Linked DNA regions of Saccharomyces cerevisiae S288C. The protein of the gene in region 1 purifies or fractionates together with the protein of each later gene. This does not show direct contact. Each region holds a gene or a part of one and is shown in the gene's direction. Other genes may lie near its edges.

Region 1 (3,832 bases):
TTTGAAATCAATTTTGGATACAATCATTGGTGTTAAAAGTGATATTAAGAAATTGAACATCCAATTGATAAATGTGCAAATAGCCATTGATATGGCCCTCGTTCTTAGAGGGAACAATTCGGACACTAGTACAAATGTAACTGGGCCCAATGTTATTGCAAACCAAAAAATAAAACAACAAGTCACGATAATTAAAACAATATTTGAGAAGTCCGTTTCTCTTCCAAATGTCCCCACAGTAGCATATGTCATCATATAAAATAATAAATTTGTTGAACCATATAATAAACATGTCTTGTGGCCCCATTTCTCCACGTAATATATGCCTAATATCGTAGAAAGGAAGTTAACACTTGACAGTATGATTGAAGTAATATAAGGATCCTTAATCCCGACACCTTTGAAAACAGACGTTCCGTAATAAAAGAAATAATTTATTCCGGACAGCTGTTGAAATGCCATTATCATCATACCAATAATCAGTCTCAACCATAACTTTGGCTTTCCCATAATAAATTCAAATGTGTTTCTTTTAACTAAGCTTTGCTTTTTTGATTCGTTGTTAGTTTCCTCATTATTATAGTTATTTTCCAGCAAATCATCGATGAATTCAATTACCATGCTATCCGTCGCAGGGATGCCATTCATCCTCGCAAAAGAGTATTTAGCAGAGGGCACATCATTTTTGATTTTTGCCAAGTACTGTGGAGATTCAGGAACGTAAACAAGTGACATTCCAATTATAATTGCCCAAATGTATCCCAAGAACAATGGCAATTGCCAGGCTATATTTTGTGTAGGATCTTTATAACATCTTTCGCATATGAAATTTAAAATGTTTCCCATTAGTATGCCAAATGTTACAATCAATTGATACGTAGATACCATGGAGCCTCTGATTTTTAGTGGAGAATTCTCGGAGAGAAACATTGGCACCAAGACAGTGGTTACTCCCACACCGATTCCCGTTACGGCTCTTCCCAATGTCAAAAAATACCACCTTCCATAGGAGAGAATTTGAATGGTTATACCGATGCAGTACACTACTAAGGCAAACCATATACCACCTTTCCTACCAATCCAATCACCGATTTTTGACAGAGTTAAAGCCCCTACGCCACAACTGATGTTAAAAATACTGATAATTAGGCCTATTTGCAGATCAGTAAGTTTCTTAGTAGATACAAAAATTGTTTCATCGTCATGGATAATATTAGTTGTGCCAAATTTTTCTTGAAAGCTAACCATATTTGTCATTCCACCGATGGTTCCAATGTCCCATCCAAAAATAAAGCCACCAAGCGAGATTACCAAGCACAATAAAACGGGAATATGCAGACTCGCATTGTGACTAATCTTTGCTGCTTGGCCTTCTATATTTTCTTCTTTATCATCTAGATACTTAATGGTTACATTATAATCCCTTCCCCTGCCTGCATCAAGCTCATTATTGTGAAAATGAGAGATGTATCCCGAGCTATGTTGATACGGAATCTGAGCAGTCATTTCTAGCAATAATTGAAGTACTTTACTTCCTAAGAATACGTTAACAAATTCTTTGTTAGTATTTCTAATTAAAAGTGGTTAATTGTTCTGTTAAACAGTATTCAATGTTGCTATTTGAATTTGTGTCATCATTAGAATTACTGACATTTTTATTTTCTATTTTTTTTTCTATTTTTTTTCCTCTTCTTTTGAGGGCCGACGTATCGATTTGTCAAGGGAAGTATAATTAAAGAAAGCACTGATATACAGGTTGCTGGGTAGATATTAAGAAGCTCAACATAGACACGTTATGGACGGGCATAATCAGAACCAGTACCAGAATCAGAATCAAATTCAGCAGTCACAACAACCACCTCTGAAGAAATATGTGACACAGAGACGATCGGTAGACGTGAGTTCTCCGTATATTAACCTATATTACAACAGACGACATGGATTACCGAACCTAGTGGTAGAGCCAGAAACTTCATACACAATAGATATAATGCCGCCTAATGCCTACAGAGGTCGAGATCGAGTCATAAATTTGCCCAGCAAATTTACGCATTTAAGCTCGAATAAAGTGAAACATGTGATACCCGCCATCCAATGGACCCCAGAAGGCAGAAGACTTGTAGTAGCAACTTATAGCGGAGAATTTTCTCTATGGAACGCATCTTCGTTTACGTTTGAAACCCTCATGCAAGCACATGATTCGGCTGTGACTACAATGAAATATTCTCACGACAGTGATTGGATGATTAGTGGGGACGCAGATGGAATGATTAAGATATGGCAACCAAACTTTAGTATGGTTAAAGAAATTGATGCTGCACACACGGAAAGTATTAGGGATATGGCATTCAGTAGTAACGACTCGAAATTTGTTACCTGTTCAGATGATAATATCTTGAAGATTTGGAACTTCAGCAATGGCAAACAAGAAAGAGTATTATCGGGGCACCACTGGGACGTGAAAAGTTGTGATTGGCATCCCGAGATGGGGTTAATTGCCTCCGCATCTAAGGACAATTTAGTAAAACTGTGGGATCCGCGTTCCGGAAACTGCATATCATCAATTCTGAAGTTCAAACATACTGTCTTGAAGACGCGATTTCAACCCACCAAGGGAAATCTATTAATGGCGATTTCAAAAGATAAATCGTGTCGTGTGTTCGACATTAGATACAGTATGAAGGAACTAATGTGTGTAAGAGATGAAACGGATTATATGACACTAGAATGGCACCCAATAAATGAATCTATGTTCACTCTGGCGTGCTATGACGGCTCGCTAAAGCATTTTGATCTTTTACAAAATCTAAACGAACCTATTTTGACTATTCCATACGCCCATGATAAGTGTATCACCTCGTTATCATATAATCCAGTAGGACATATATTTGCCACAGCAGCTAAGGATAGAACCATAAGATTTTGGACTAGAGCGAGGCCAATTGATCCTAATGCATATGATGATCCAACTTATAACAATAAGAAGATAAATGGATGGTTTTTTGGCATCAATAACGACATCAATGCTGTGAGAGAGAAGAGTGAATTCGGTGCGGCCCCGCCACCACCAGCTACACTTGAACCACATGCGTTACCAAACATGAATGGATTCATCAACAAGAAACCGCGTCAAGAAATCCCAGGCATCGATTCAAACATCAAGAGTTCCACATTGCCAGGTTTAAGCATATAAAAGTGCGCTTTGACGAGATTTTAGGATACATAAATAAAAAGACTATATAACATATTATTTGTGATAATATCTCTCATTTCTGGGGAATGTACCCCACAGGCACCACTGTTTACTTTTGTCGCTGATATCTTCATAGAATTTTTCTTTATTCTTTGGGGTATTCTTCTCGGTGTAATATTCAATGAAAAATAAATATCGCCAGTTTCTATCATGTTCGTCCAAATGGAATGGTCTAGAGTTTATAGAACACATGTTGAGTGAATGGATTTTTAGTATGTTCAAAACATCTACCAAAGAACCAGGGTCATCTTGACGAGTAGTAAAGGTGAGTAGGTTAACCCGTAGTAATCCAGTGTCTTCTACTTCATTGTCGCCTGCGTTCTCCCTTCTCTTCAATACTAAAAATCTTGTTGTATTTCCTAGCTTATCATTTATCGAATGTTCAATGATGTACGCCTTATGCAATTGGGCAGCTGTTTCACTAGCAATGGCTAAATGCAGAATGTTGTCGCAATCGGCCGTTGATGACCGAATGCATTGGTTCACTGATTCAGATGTGGAAGAACAATCCAATCTTATAAAGGTGACCTGCGGAAATTTTTCTGCCATGGACCTTAAGTAACATTCAACCTGGCCCCA
Region 2 (4,001 bases), on another chromosome or scaffold:
TGTGAGTGCACTGGAAAGCCTGTGTAATAAGTTTTTGATGTACTGTATTCCTTGCGAGTATTATCACAAAGCTCTACTGTGTTTGCACTGTGGGCGTATAGGGATATCGCGAGGGCAACGCAAAACTAGCAAGATACACATATTCCATACATTAAAGCGGTAATTTTTAGTAGTTAATTTCGAAATTTCAAACCCGGCAATGATACGCACATTAAGAAAAGGGAAAAAAAAAAGAATAAATTGGCCATAGAAAAATTCTGTTATCCACTAGACAGAAGTTTGCGTTCCATACTGTCAGAGGTGGCATTTTACATAACAATAGTGACAAAAAATAAATTTCAGAAGGAAGGCAACATAAGTTTTTCTAATCCTAAAATCTTTCGATTTTGTATCAGAGATTGTTCACGCTAATGTCATTCATCATAGTAGATCATTTATCTTTCACTGCGGAGAAGTTTCGAACGCCGAAACATGCGCACCAACTTTCACTTCTACAGCGTTTGACCAAAATCTTTTGAACAGAACATTGTAGGGTGTGAAAAAATGCGCACCTTTACCGCTAGCCCAAGAGGGCACTACAAAATCTAGAGTTGTACTTCAAACGTACATGTAATCACCTTGTATATACTCGAAAGAAAACATCAAGTTTCTGTATAAATATGAGTGAAAGCATAATCATACATTATCTTTTCAAAGATGAAGAGTGGGTGAATTTTGAGATAATTGTTGGGATTCCATTTTTAATAAGGCAATAATATTAGGTATGTAGAAAGTACTAGAAGTTCTCCTCGAGGATTTAGGAATCCATAAAAGGGAATCTGCAATTCTACACAATTCTATAAATATTATTATCATCATTTTATATGTTAATATTCATTGATCCTATTACATTATCAATCCTTGCGTTTCAGCTTCCACTAATTTAGATGACTATTTCTCATCATTTGCGTCATCTTCTAACACCGTATATGATAATATACTAGTAACGTAAATACTAGTTAGTAGATGATAGTTGATTTTTACTCCAACAAAAGAATTACAGTCAGTGGCTGTTTGCTGACATTTCATTGCTTCCCTTACAACCTGATTTCCATTCGAGTTGAAAGGTTGAGAAAAATTGCAAGACTTCTCTCTCATCTACCTTCCCCTTTTCTTGAAGACAAGGTGAGAGACAATTTAGTACTAAAGCTTTTGCGGTTGTTATTCAATTGAGGTAGATACCTGGCAAAACATTTCTTGTGAGCACAACCTCAATTAAAGTTAGACAAGTAGGTGCACTATTGGTTGCTTGTTGGCTCATCTCGTTGAGGAATGTAATAACTACTTGTTATTAACCTGTTTTTGTGCCATCTATAGTGGAGAGCTTATTGCAATTTGTTTTTTATTTCTTGACTGCATATATCAGTCTTTGACAGGCTGCATGGGGATGACAGTTAGAAACTAGCCAAATTACCCCTTATGTAGATAACAATCATTGCTTATTCGCTCTTCCCCCATTTTTTTTCTTGCTCTTGCTGTTTTTTCTTTTAGCGTTCGTTTCAAGGAACAAGAGAGGGAAAAAAAAATCAAAAGTAGAAAAGAAGAAGAAAAAAACAACGTAACACAAGTTAACACCACAACTGAAAAAAAAAATAAGAGGTGAACGAACGAGTAACTGGGGAGAGGAAAGCAGATTACCACAATATACATTCAAATTAAAGAAATGGACTCACAACCAGTTGACGTTGATAATATCATCGATAGATTATTGGAAGTAAGAGGATCTAAACCTGGTCAACAAGTTGATCTAGAAGAAAATGAAATCAGATACTTATGTTCGAAAGCCAGATCTATATTCATAAAGCAACCCATTTTACTAGAGTTAGAAGCCCCAATTAAAGTATGTTAATGTTGAACTTCGCAGTCAAGAGATAGAATGCCTAGAGCTTCAGGTGTTTTATGTGTTCTACTCCTGTTGCGGCAGTAAGATAGTTACAGCAGTTATTTCCGTTTGACTGAAAGAATTTACCAAGCATCTGATGTTAGCCTACTCATATGTCGAGATAGCCGAGATAATGTGTGTGTTTAGCTCTTCATTTTTCTATCTTATTAGGCATTTTTTTACCAAGATTTCCTTATGTTTTGTATCATCATCCGGCCGGCGCCTCCCATATTCAGAAAAATCCCCCTTGCTCACACTAAAAAAAGAAGGCATTTTTTCGTTATGAAGAAAACGAATCTTTTTTTTTTTTGAGCCCGAGAGAAAGGTCGGACGAAAACCAAGAAATGTGGATTTGCAGAAGGCATTGGGAGAAATGAAGCGTTTTTGACAGCAGTAATTGTTCTCTTAAAGTCAACGGAATGAGCTAGATTTAGTGACAAATTCATTTACTAACTTATTTTTTTCTATTTTTTTTTTTTTTAGATATGTGGTGACATTCATGGGCAATACTATGATTTACTACGTCTATTTGAGTACGGTGGATTCCCGCCAGAATCTAATTATCTATTTTTGGGTGATTATGTCGACCGTGGTAAACAATCCTTAGAGACTATTTGTCTATTACTGGCTTACAAAATTAAGTATCCAGAAAACTTTTTCATTTTAAGAGGGAACCATGAATGTGCTTCCATTAATAGAATTTACGGGTTTTATGATGAATGTAAGAGACGTTATAATATCAAACTTTGGAAAACTTTCACGGATTGTTTCAATTGTTTACCAATTGCTGCAATTATTGATGAGAAAATCTTCTGTATGCATGGTGGTCTCTCACCAGATTTGAATAGTATGGAACAGATCAGAAGGGTGATGAGGCCAACAGATATTCCCGACGTTGGCTTATTATGTGACTTATTGTGGTCAGATCCAGATAAAGATATCGTAGGTTGGAGTGAAAATGATAGAGGTGTTTCTTTCACTTTTGGTCCTGATGTAGTGAACAGATTTTTACAGAAACAAGATATGGAGTTGATTTGCAGGGCCCATCAAGTTGTGGAAGATGGTTATGAATTCTTTAGTAAAAGACAATTGGTGACACTTTTCAGTGCTCCGAATTATTGTGGTGAATTTGATAACGCTGGTGCAATGATGAGTGTTGATGAAAGTTTATTATGTTCTTTTCAAATTTTAAAGCCAGCCCAAAAAAGTCTACCAAGGCAAGCTGGGGGTAGAAAGAAAAAATAAATAGATTCACGTCCTAAATCAAAGTTTAAAAAGGAAAATACTTATTAACAAGAAGAGTAGTAGAAGAAAAATACAAGAAACATAAACGTAGAAAACTTTTAGTCAATTCTTTAAGCGAAGAATACGAAAGAAACATCAAGAAAACAAAGGAAGATGCAATCATCACTCGTCATATACACAAATAATTCCCTTTAGTGCAACAAACCGCGAAAAAGCATAAGAAACATAAAAAAAATATAAAAAAAAGGAGATAATAATAAGATGTGAAGGATTTGAATTAGTGGAAAAATGATAAGTCTACACTATTATTATTAACGAAATGCAATTTTTCTTTATTTTCTTTTATTACTATTATCATTACTATTATTATTAGTATTATTATTTTTTTACTTATTTTTATATTAAACTATGTTAAATTACTATATTATTATTTTGTCTAACTCTATATTGAGGCTGTCTTTCGTTGCACTGTTAAGAATGGTCACGTCTTCCTTTGGCTTTGAACCCTTTTATAAACAAGTTGGCCAAATCATTTAGTCAATCACGTCAACCTGTCTAAAATAAGACAGGTAAAAAAGAAAATGCCATCTCCTAGAATCGAACCAGGGTTTCATCGGCCACAACGATGTGTACTAACCACTATACTAAGATGGCGACTTTTCAATGGAGAACTGTTGTATTACGGGCTCGAGTAATACCGGAGTGTCTTGACAATCCTAATATAAACAGTCTTAGGGAAGTAACCAGTTGTCAAAACAGTTTATCAGATTAATTCACGGAATGTTACTTATCTTATATATTATATAAAATATGAATCATACTAAGTGGTGGAAGC

What was found.
Region 2: the proteins of PFS2 (region 1) and GLC7 purify together in Saccharomyces cerevisiae (affinity purification with mass spectrometry; 5 studies listed by BioGRID). This does not show direct contact.

The regions. Positions count from the first base shown.
Region 1 is NC_001146.8:38,824-42,655, forward strand, and holds PFS2 (cleavage polyadenylation factor subunit PFS2), read left to right. Parts: upstream 1-1,795; coding exon 1,796-3,193; downstream 3,194-3,832. Other genes in the region: HXT14 (Hxt14p), read right to left, coding at 1-1,506; prephenate dehydratase PHA2, read right to left, coding at 3,248-3,832. UniProt on the Saccharomyces cerevisiae protein: Integral and essential component of the cleavage and polyadenylation factor (CPF) complex, which plays a key role in polyadenylation-dependent pre-mRNA 3'-end formation and cooperates with cleavage factors including the CFIA complex and NAB4/CFIB.
Region 2 is NC_001137.3:430,793-434,793, forward strand, and holds GLC7 (type 1 serine/threonine-protein phosphatase catalytic subunit GLC7), read left to right. Parts: upstream 1-1,702; coding exon 1,703-1,879; intron 1,880-2,404; coding exon 2,405-3,166; downstream 3,167-4,001.